2 linked regions of the Neurospora crassa OR74A genome follow. The protein of the gene in region 2 binds, or shares a complex with, the protein of the main gene of each other region. Links are inferred from orthologs where the notes say so. Each region holds a gene or a part of one and is shown on either strand. Other genes may lie near its edges.

What was found.
Region 1: NCU00570 (region 2) and NCU05305 share a complex: the UniProt entries of both Saccharomyces cerevisiae proteins name them as parts of the RNA polymerase III (Pol III) complex. The link is inferred for Neurospora crassa OR74A from reciprocal best matches to the Saccharomyces cerevisiae genes RPC11 and RPB5.

Annotation. Positions count from the first base shown.
Region 1 is NC_026504.1:5,395,481-5,399,296, reverse strand, and holds NCU05305 (DNA-directed RNA polymerase II polypeptide), read left to right. Parts: upstream 1-1,458; 5' UTR 1,459-1,700; coding exon 1,701-1,793; intron 1,794-1,889; coding exon 1,890-1,972; intron 1,973-2,090; coding exon 2,091-2,619; 3' UTR 2,620-3,239; downstream 3,240-3,816. Other genes in the region: NCU05304 (nuclear segregation protein), read right to left, coding at 1-108, 303-431; NCU05306 (hypothetical protein), read right to left, coding at 3,560-3,816. UniProt on the Saccharomyces cerevisiae protein: DNA-dependent RNA polymerases catalyze the transcription of DNA into RNA using the four ribonucleoside triphosphates as substrates.
Region 2 is NC_026501.1:7,970,220-7,973,102, forward strand, and holds NCU00570 (DNA-directed RNA polymerase III polypeptide), read left to right. Parts: upstream 1-1,191; 5' UTR 1,192-1,430; coding exon 1,431-1,443; intron 1,444-1,499; coding exon 1,500-1,786; exon of another isoform or gene 1,787-1,842; coding exon 1,843-1,881; 3' UTR 1,882-2,062; downstream 2,063-2,883. Other genes in the region: NCU00571 (hypothetical protein), read right to left, coding at 1-276, 424-450; NCU00569 (SOH1 family protein), read right to left, coding at 2,083-2,370, 2,425-2,541. UniProt on the Saccharomyces cerevisiae protein: DNA-dependent RNA polymerase catalyzes the transcription of DNA into RNA using the four ribonucleoside triphosphates as substrates. Component of RNA polymerase III which synthesizes small RNAs, such as 5S rRNA and tRNAs.

The sequences.
Region 1 (3,816 bases), on a different chromosome or scaffold from region 2:
GATCTCGTTGAGCTGGGAGATGAGCTCCTGGCGCTTCTTCTGGGTGGGGCTGGGCTGGTCCTTGTTCTTGCTAGGAGCGGCGAGCTCAACCTTGGCCTTGATCTCGTTCTGGATTCAAGGACAATTGGTTAGTCTGGCCTTGTCACATGGCAATTGGAGGCAGCAGCTTCTAGTAGCAAAAGACGTGGTGGTGGTGAGGGTGGCGTGGACGGCAGGGTGCATCGTGAGTGCGAGGGCGGGTGCTCTGACTCCACGGTATCGGGTAGATGCGCTCTTGGTAGCGGCCAGGGCAGGGGACTCACGTATTTCTTCAGGGCCTCCTGATACTCCTTCTCGGCCTTGGCGAGGTTCTCGTTGAAGGCATCCTGATCAGGCTTGTGAGGCTTGGTGGTGGCCGCAGGGGCGGCAGCGGGGGATTGCGACTCGGCCATTGTGTGTGGTGTTGGGGGTTGCTGAAGGAAAAAAAGAAGAAGGAAGAAGAGACGAAAGGAAGGGAATAGTAAGATAAAGACGGGGAAGGGGGACTAGGCAACCGGGGGGCGTGGGTCGGAGCCGGTGGGTAGGTTGGTTGGAGAGCTACTTAGTGTAGAACAGCCGCGGGCGACCTGAGGAAGGATGGGAAGTGGAAGGCAGTGCACGTCCGAGGACCGCTGTTCGGGTCCTGTAGGATAGGATGTACCTCTGGGGTAATCGCTGCTTTGAGATGTGGTTATGTGGATGTGTAGTGGAAGATGGGGTCCAGACTGCCCTGGGGAGAACAATGGCTAGGTAGTGCGGGTGCTGTCAATGCCTGATCTGTTTTGCCCGCATCCAAATTGACAATTGAACGGGAACTAACCTAACTTTGGTCACTTTGAACCCTCAATTCACAGTCCCGTCGCCAGTTCCAAAAAATTCCAAAATTTGTCCCGCTTCAGGCGTGTTCCAGATCTGCAGATCGTGGCCTTTCCCCGACACCGTGTCACGCGTGTCACCGTCTTGGCCTGTGCGCTACTACCTACCCTACCAAGTACATATGGTGCGCTGGTTGGTTGGTTGGTTGGTTGGTTGGTTGGTTGGAGGATGATGATGATAGGTTGAATTGGCTCTTCACTAAGTTCACTTCACTTTGCCCAGCAATGTCCCTCATGGAACATATATGGATCATGGAAGAGGTTTATATAGGTAGTTGGCCGAGGAGAATTAATTTTGTGTACTATCATGTATGTACCGGAAACGCAACTTGAAGTGTATGTCCGCTTTTCCAGTCATGCATAAAACCAGCGCACGCCATCACTGTTCCTCCTAGGTCTTTCACGACTTCAACAAACTGCCTGCCTGAATCAGAAGCCGGTCAACGGTCAACAGCACAGACCATCTGCGCGCTTACTTGTAGTGTCTCACAGGGGTGAAGGCAGCCTCCGGCTCACTGTGGACCCATCCATCTCTTATCGGCCGGCGTGGAATCCTGGAGTGCCCGGGCGTTAGGTCTGATCAATGCGGCCACGCCTCTGGTTTTCGGCGACACCCACCCTTCCCGCAATTTTTTGAGAGCCTTTGTCCTTCAGCCTCGTAAACAGGAAAGTCCTCCAAGCTATCAATCCACCAACACGCCATCCACCATCGCGAACCACCACCTCACCTGCGCAACCTCCACATCACCACCACTCCGCGACGACAAACACTACACTTCAATCGACTGCCCAACACACACAGTCAAAATGGAGGACGACAGCAGCCCCACCAGTGCCTCCAAGGAAGTCTCCCGTCTGTGGAGGGCCTGGAGGACTGTTCACGAGATGGTTCAGGACAGGGTACGCCATCCATCCTTATCACGGCGCTTGCTCGACGCGCCATCGCCCAGAATGATTCGACCTATTCTGACATGTACATGTGCTTCTCGACTATAGGGCTACGAGTTGGCGGAAGACGAAGTCAAGATCTCGCTCGAGCGGTTCAAGGCTGAATACACGAACGAGGATGGAACACCAAAGTGAGTTCCTGCGTCGGCACCCATCACCCCTCCATCACCACCACTTTACGCGTCGCATTTCAAACCTCAAACCACTATCACCTCCCCACCAGACTAACATGACGACACCAAACCACAGCCGCGCCAAGCTCCAATTCTCCGCCCGCCCCTCGGAAGCCATGATCAAAAAGTTCACCGCCCCTCCCACGCCCTCCAACCCCAACCCCGTTCCCGAATGCGGCACCATCTGGGTCGAGTTCTGCACCGAAAAGGGCTCCATCGGCGTGTCCGTCATGAAGAAATTTGTCACCCACTGCTCCGACAACAAGTTCAAAGCCGGCATCTTCATCACCGCCGTCCCGCTTTCTGCCCAGGCCCGCAAGGTCATGTCCGTCACCTCGCAGTACACACAGGTCGAGTGCTTCCTGGAGGAGGACCTGCTGGTCAACATCACGCACCACGAGCTCGTGCCCAAGCACGTGTTGCTGTCCAAGGAGGAGAAGGCCGCGCTCCTCAAGCGGTACCGACTCAAGGAGACGCAGCTGCCGAGAATTCTGAGCAAGGATCCGATTGCGCGGTATCTGGGACTCAAGAGGGGCCAGGTCGTCAAGATCATTCGTGTGTCGGAGACGGCGGGTCGCTATGCTTCTTACAGGCTTTGCGTATAAGGGGGGCAAGCGTGTGTGCGTGAGAGAAGGGGGTGGTTGCGTGCGGTTGGCAAAGCTGGGCTGGCTGGCTGGCTGGCTGGCTGGAGGGCACTACACCAATCCATCCAATCTCTCCCCAGGCTTGATTTGTTCTCTGGACGGTCTTCGACGGGCCAACGCGGGTCTGGCTGGTGGGAATCAGTTGATGACTATATGGACGAGGACTGGATAAGAAGCCTTGGGAAGGGGACGATGACGGCCAGCAGCGAAGCAAGAAAGAAGTGAAAGCACGGCAGCCACCAGCGGGACAGGGAGGAAGGGGTTAGGGGTTCGGTTGTGTAATACAAAACACTTGGGCGTTTTTCTTTTTCTTAACTATTCTAGCATCATGGGGGATACAGGGAAATCAGTTTCTGTTCTTTCGAATTCAAAAGAGGACAAAGAAAGAAAGGCGTTACGGAGTGGCTTTTGTACTAAGTAGCTTGAGATATATACCGACAAGAGAATATCCGAGCTATCATTATGAAATTTTGAGACAAGAGAGATTAGAGCAGTTGGGTACTGTGTTTGCTAATGGGTATATTCACCACGGAGTCTACTATATTAGAGTGCTTATCTGAGCTAGAAGTAGCCCCTGGCTGAATCATCAACATTCAGGTGTTTGGATGCTGACTGAAAGAAAGTTTCGTCAATCCCTTTTGAAATCGGGCATGAGATATCAGAGTTATTGAGCTGTTGATTCGATTGCTCAAGAGTTACTCAGTGACTGGTGACATTGTATTGACCAATACAGAACTATACGCAGCCTCTACCATAAAGTCAAGACACTTATCCTCCAACACTGTAATCCGTTTGTTACATGGCATGTTGACTGTTCAATTATTCATTCATTCCTCTGTTAATACACACCTAAAAGACTCACTCAAGTCCAAATCACGAACCAATCCCAATCCCAATCCCTCTAAGGCCAAACCTCAACCTTCTCCCACTCCCCCTGCACCTCCCCGCCCGCCTCCTTCGCATGATAACTATTTCCCCTCCACAAATACAACCACCGCCTCGCCCTCTTCGCATCCGACAAATCCACCTGATCCACCTCGGTCGGCACAATCACCACCACCCTGAAATTCTTTCTGGCTACCTCATCCTGCAAATCCACCACCTCCTGGCCCAACCCCTCCCCTTTTCCAGGGGGGAACGCCACCGGCTGTCCCGGCG
Region 2 (2,883 bases):
GCTGTTGATCCATCGGACTGCGCTGTGCAGCGGGGTGTCGCCCTCGAGTCGGTTGACGGGATCGCATTCAAAGCCTGGTTGGTCGAGGAGCATGTCGATTATCTCGTAGTTGCCACGGAGCGCGGCTTCGTGGTAGAGGTGGTTGCCCATCACGGTGGTCGTGTTGTTCAAGAGGGAGGAGATTTCTTCGTCGGATTTGTCGGCGAGAATTTCCGAGAGGAGGTCAGTGTTGTTACGCCGGCAAGCTTCAATGAGCTGCTCGGAGATGGAGGCACCCTGTATTTTGGGGGGTGAAAGAAGGAAGGGTTAGCTGGGGTTGTCTGTAGTATAGCTGTTTGCGCGAGAGGGCGTAGGGCGGGTGAAACGGGGGATAGAAGAGAGAGGGTGTTAGTTGGGGGTAGAGGACGCTTGTGTGGTACGAACCTCGTGTTCTTCGTCCTTTCCGGCCATGGTTACTGGTAGGTCACTTGTGGTTGTCTCGGAAACGGCGGGTGATGTTTCTTGGTTGTAGGAAGAAGCACAAGTAGCGAAAACGACGGTGAAAGCGAAGAGGGATGACGGCGAGAGTTGTCCAAAGTAGAGAGGTAAGATTGGCCTGGAATTGCTAATTACGAGCGGGAATCGTGGAAATGGGTCGGCGGGGGAGAGTGGATGTACGGTATGGAAGTGGCCAGGCTGTCGAATCAGGTAATCGGTCGATTCCTATAAAAGGATCGGGATCGCGTAACGCTCAATGAGGGATCTTCGGGGTAATAAGAGGGCGGCGAACGACTGTTTGTAGGGTACAGTGTACTGTATTCTATGAGATATCTCCAGTCGTGGTGGTGGTGGTGGTTGTATGAAGGACGGGATGGAAGCATTCCGTACCTCTACCTAACGGGCTGGTTAGGAGGTGGCAGTGGCAGTGTCGTCTTCCCTTGGTGTTACAGAATGGTCGGCTCCTTGCGGGGCCCGATCAGGACGCTGGCATTCAGATGGCATGCGCTGAGGCCCAGCTGCATGTCAGTGAGTAGGTACGTACCTACCTTAGCACAGGCACAACAGAAAGGGCCGTTGGGTCCAGGCACCGCTGACCAAGTGTGGGACAGTTGATGATGCAGATCTGACCAATGAAAATTCAAGCGCTACATTTAAGGTTTATAGAATTAACGGACCGCATCGAGCTATAACACTTTTTTTCAGGCCATCGCCCCTACACTGACTATTTACACTCTAACAACTTATATCACTACCTTAAAGCCCAGCAAGTGGTAGACATAAACACCGGTCTTGGCCAGCTGTTTTCACAAAAGGTACCAGCTTACGGCGACGCCTCTTCTCATCAGGATCGTCAACAAGACTTTTGGCAACCGCTCGACTCATCTCACTTGCTATTCATAACGGACGATAACACACAACAAACAAATCCAGTCCCTTCATCAATAGCAAACATGCCTATCGTCTGTAAGTCCAAGTCCACCCACAAAGGCTAGGACACCGGAACTAAACGCCCACCACAGTTTGCCCATTCTGCGCCAACCTCCTCATCCTCTCCCGAGCGGACACGGGTGGCAACAGGCTCGAGTGCAGAACCTGTCCTTACGAACACCCCATCGACAAGCCCATCTACTCCCGCAAGAACTTCCCGCGCAAGGAGAAGGAAGACGTGTTTGGTGGTCCAGGCGCTTGGGACAATGCACAAAAAGGCAAGGTCCAGTGTGACAGCGGAACTTGCAATGGCAACGAGGCAGCCTTCTTCCAGGTTCAAATTCGTAGTGCTGATGAACCGATGACGACGTTCTACAAGGTAAGAAGGGGATTGCAGACTGATGGGATAAAGTAAGAAGCTAACATGTCTCGTAGTGTATGACTTGCGGGCACAGGTGGAGAGACAACAACTAGAGGAAGAAGACATGTTCAGCACAGGTCTGGTCGGATCATCAATACATGGTATTGGGGGCATTGCTTGGCGTTGGGTTTTTCTTTTGTTTTTGTGTAGTTGCATGTGAGGTATTCTTCATCAGAATCAACTTGTGCGGTACTGGCCTGCCAGAGGCTACTTCCCACTCGTTTCCATCCCTGGCATCATTCTACCCGTGCAACTTATGCCGTGCTTGGAAAACTCTCTCGATGCCAGTCGATTCCGGCCTTCATGCCCTCTAGCCTGAGACGCTCGACCAGGTCTGGGCTGATGATGTCCTGCCTGAACTTTTCCTGCTGCAGCAACTCCAGGTTCTTCAAGGTAGGCCCAGGGTAGGTGATATACTTGAGGTAAGGTGGGCGGCTCCAGTACTGGAGATAGTCGAGGTAGGCGATGAAAGCAGGATTGCTGAGTAGCTTCCTGGACGCAAGATGGTTCAGGTACAGCGGGTTGCCAAGTGCTTGAACAAACTGAGTGTTCTGTTAATACCACGCACGCTGGATGATAATGTGTATGAAGCCTACCTCCAGTTCGAGTTCGAACCGTGTATATCCTCCATACTTGGGCTCGTCTGCCCCTGATCCCGGAGGCGCAGGTGGCTCCCTTGCTGAACTGTTTACTGACATGGGATCGGATGCCATGACGTAAAAAATGAGTGTTTGTTACAGTGTTCCAATCTGTGAATGAGCTGGATACCTAGGAACGTGTCTAGATGTTTGCGCCTCTTTGTCAAGTGAATGCGATGGGCAGTACAAGTAGACGTGAGCAGTGGCTGCTCTTAAATGGTCGTTTGTGTTGGACGAAAGCCTCAACGGCCCGTGAGTGCCCGGAAGGAAGGCGAGACTGTTTTGTTCCACCAACAATTCCTCGAGGGCGGCCCGGATGTGGCAAATTAGTGGGGCAAGCAAGCGGAGATGGCTCTGTCCCTGCAGAAAAATCAGCGTGTAACCGCTATAAATACTCAGATCAGCCCTGTAACTTGC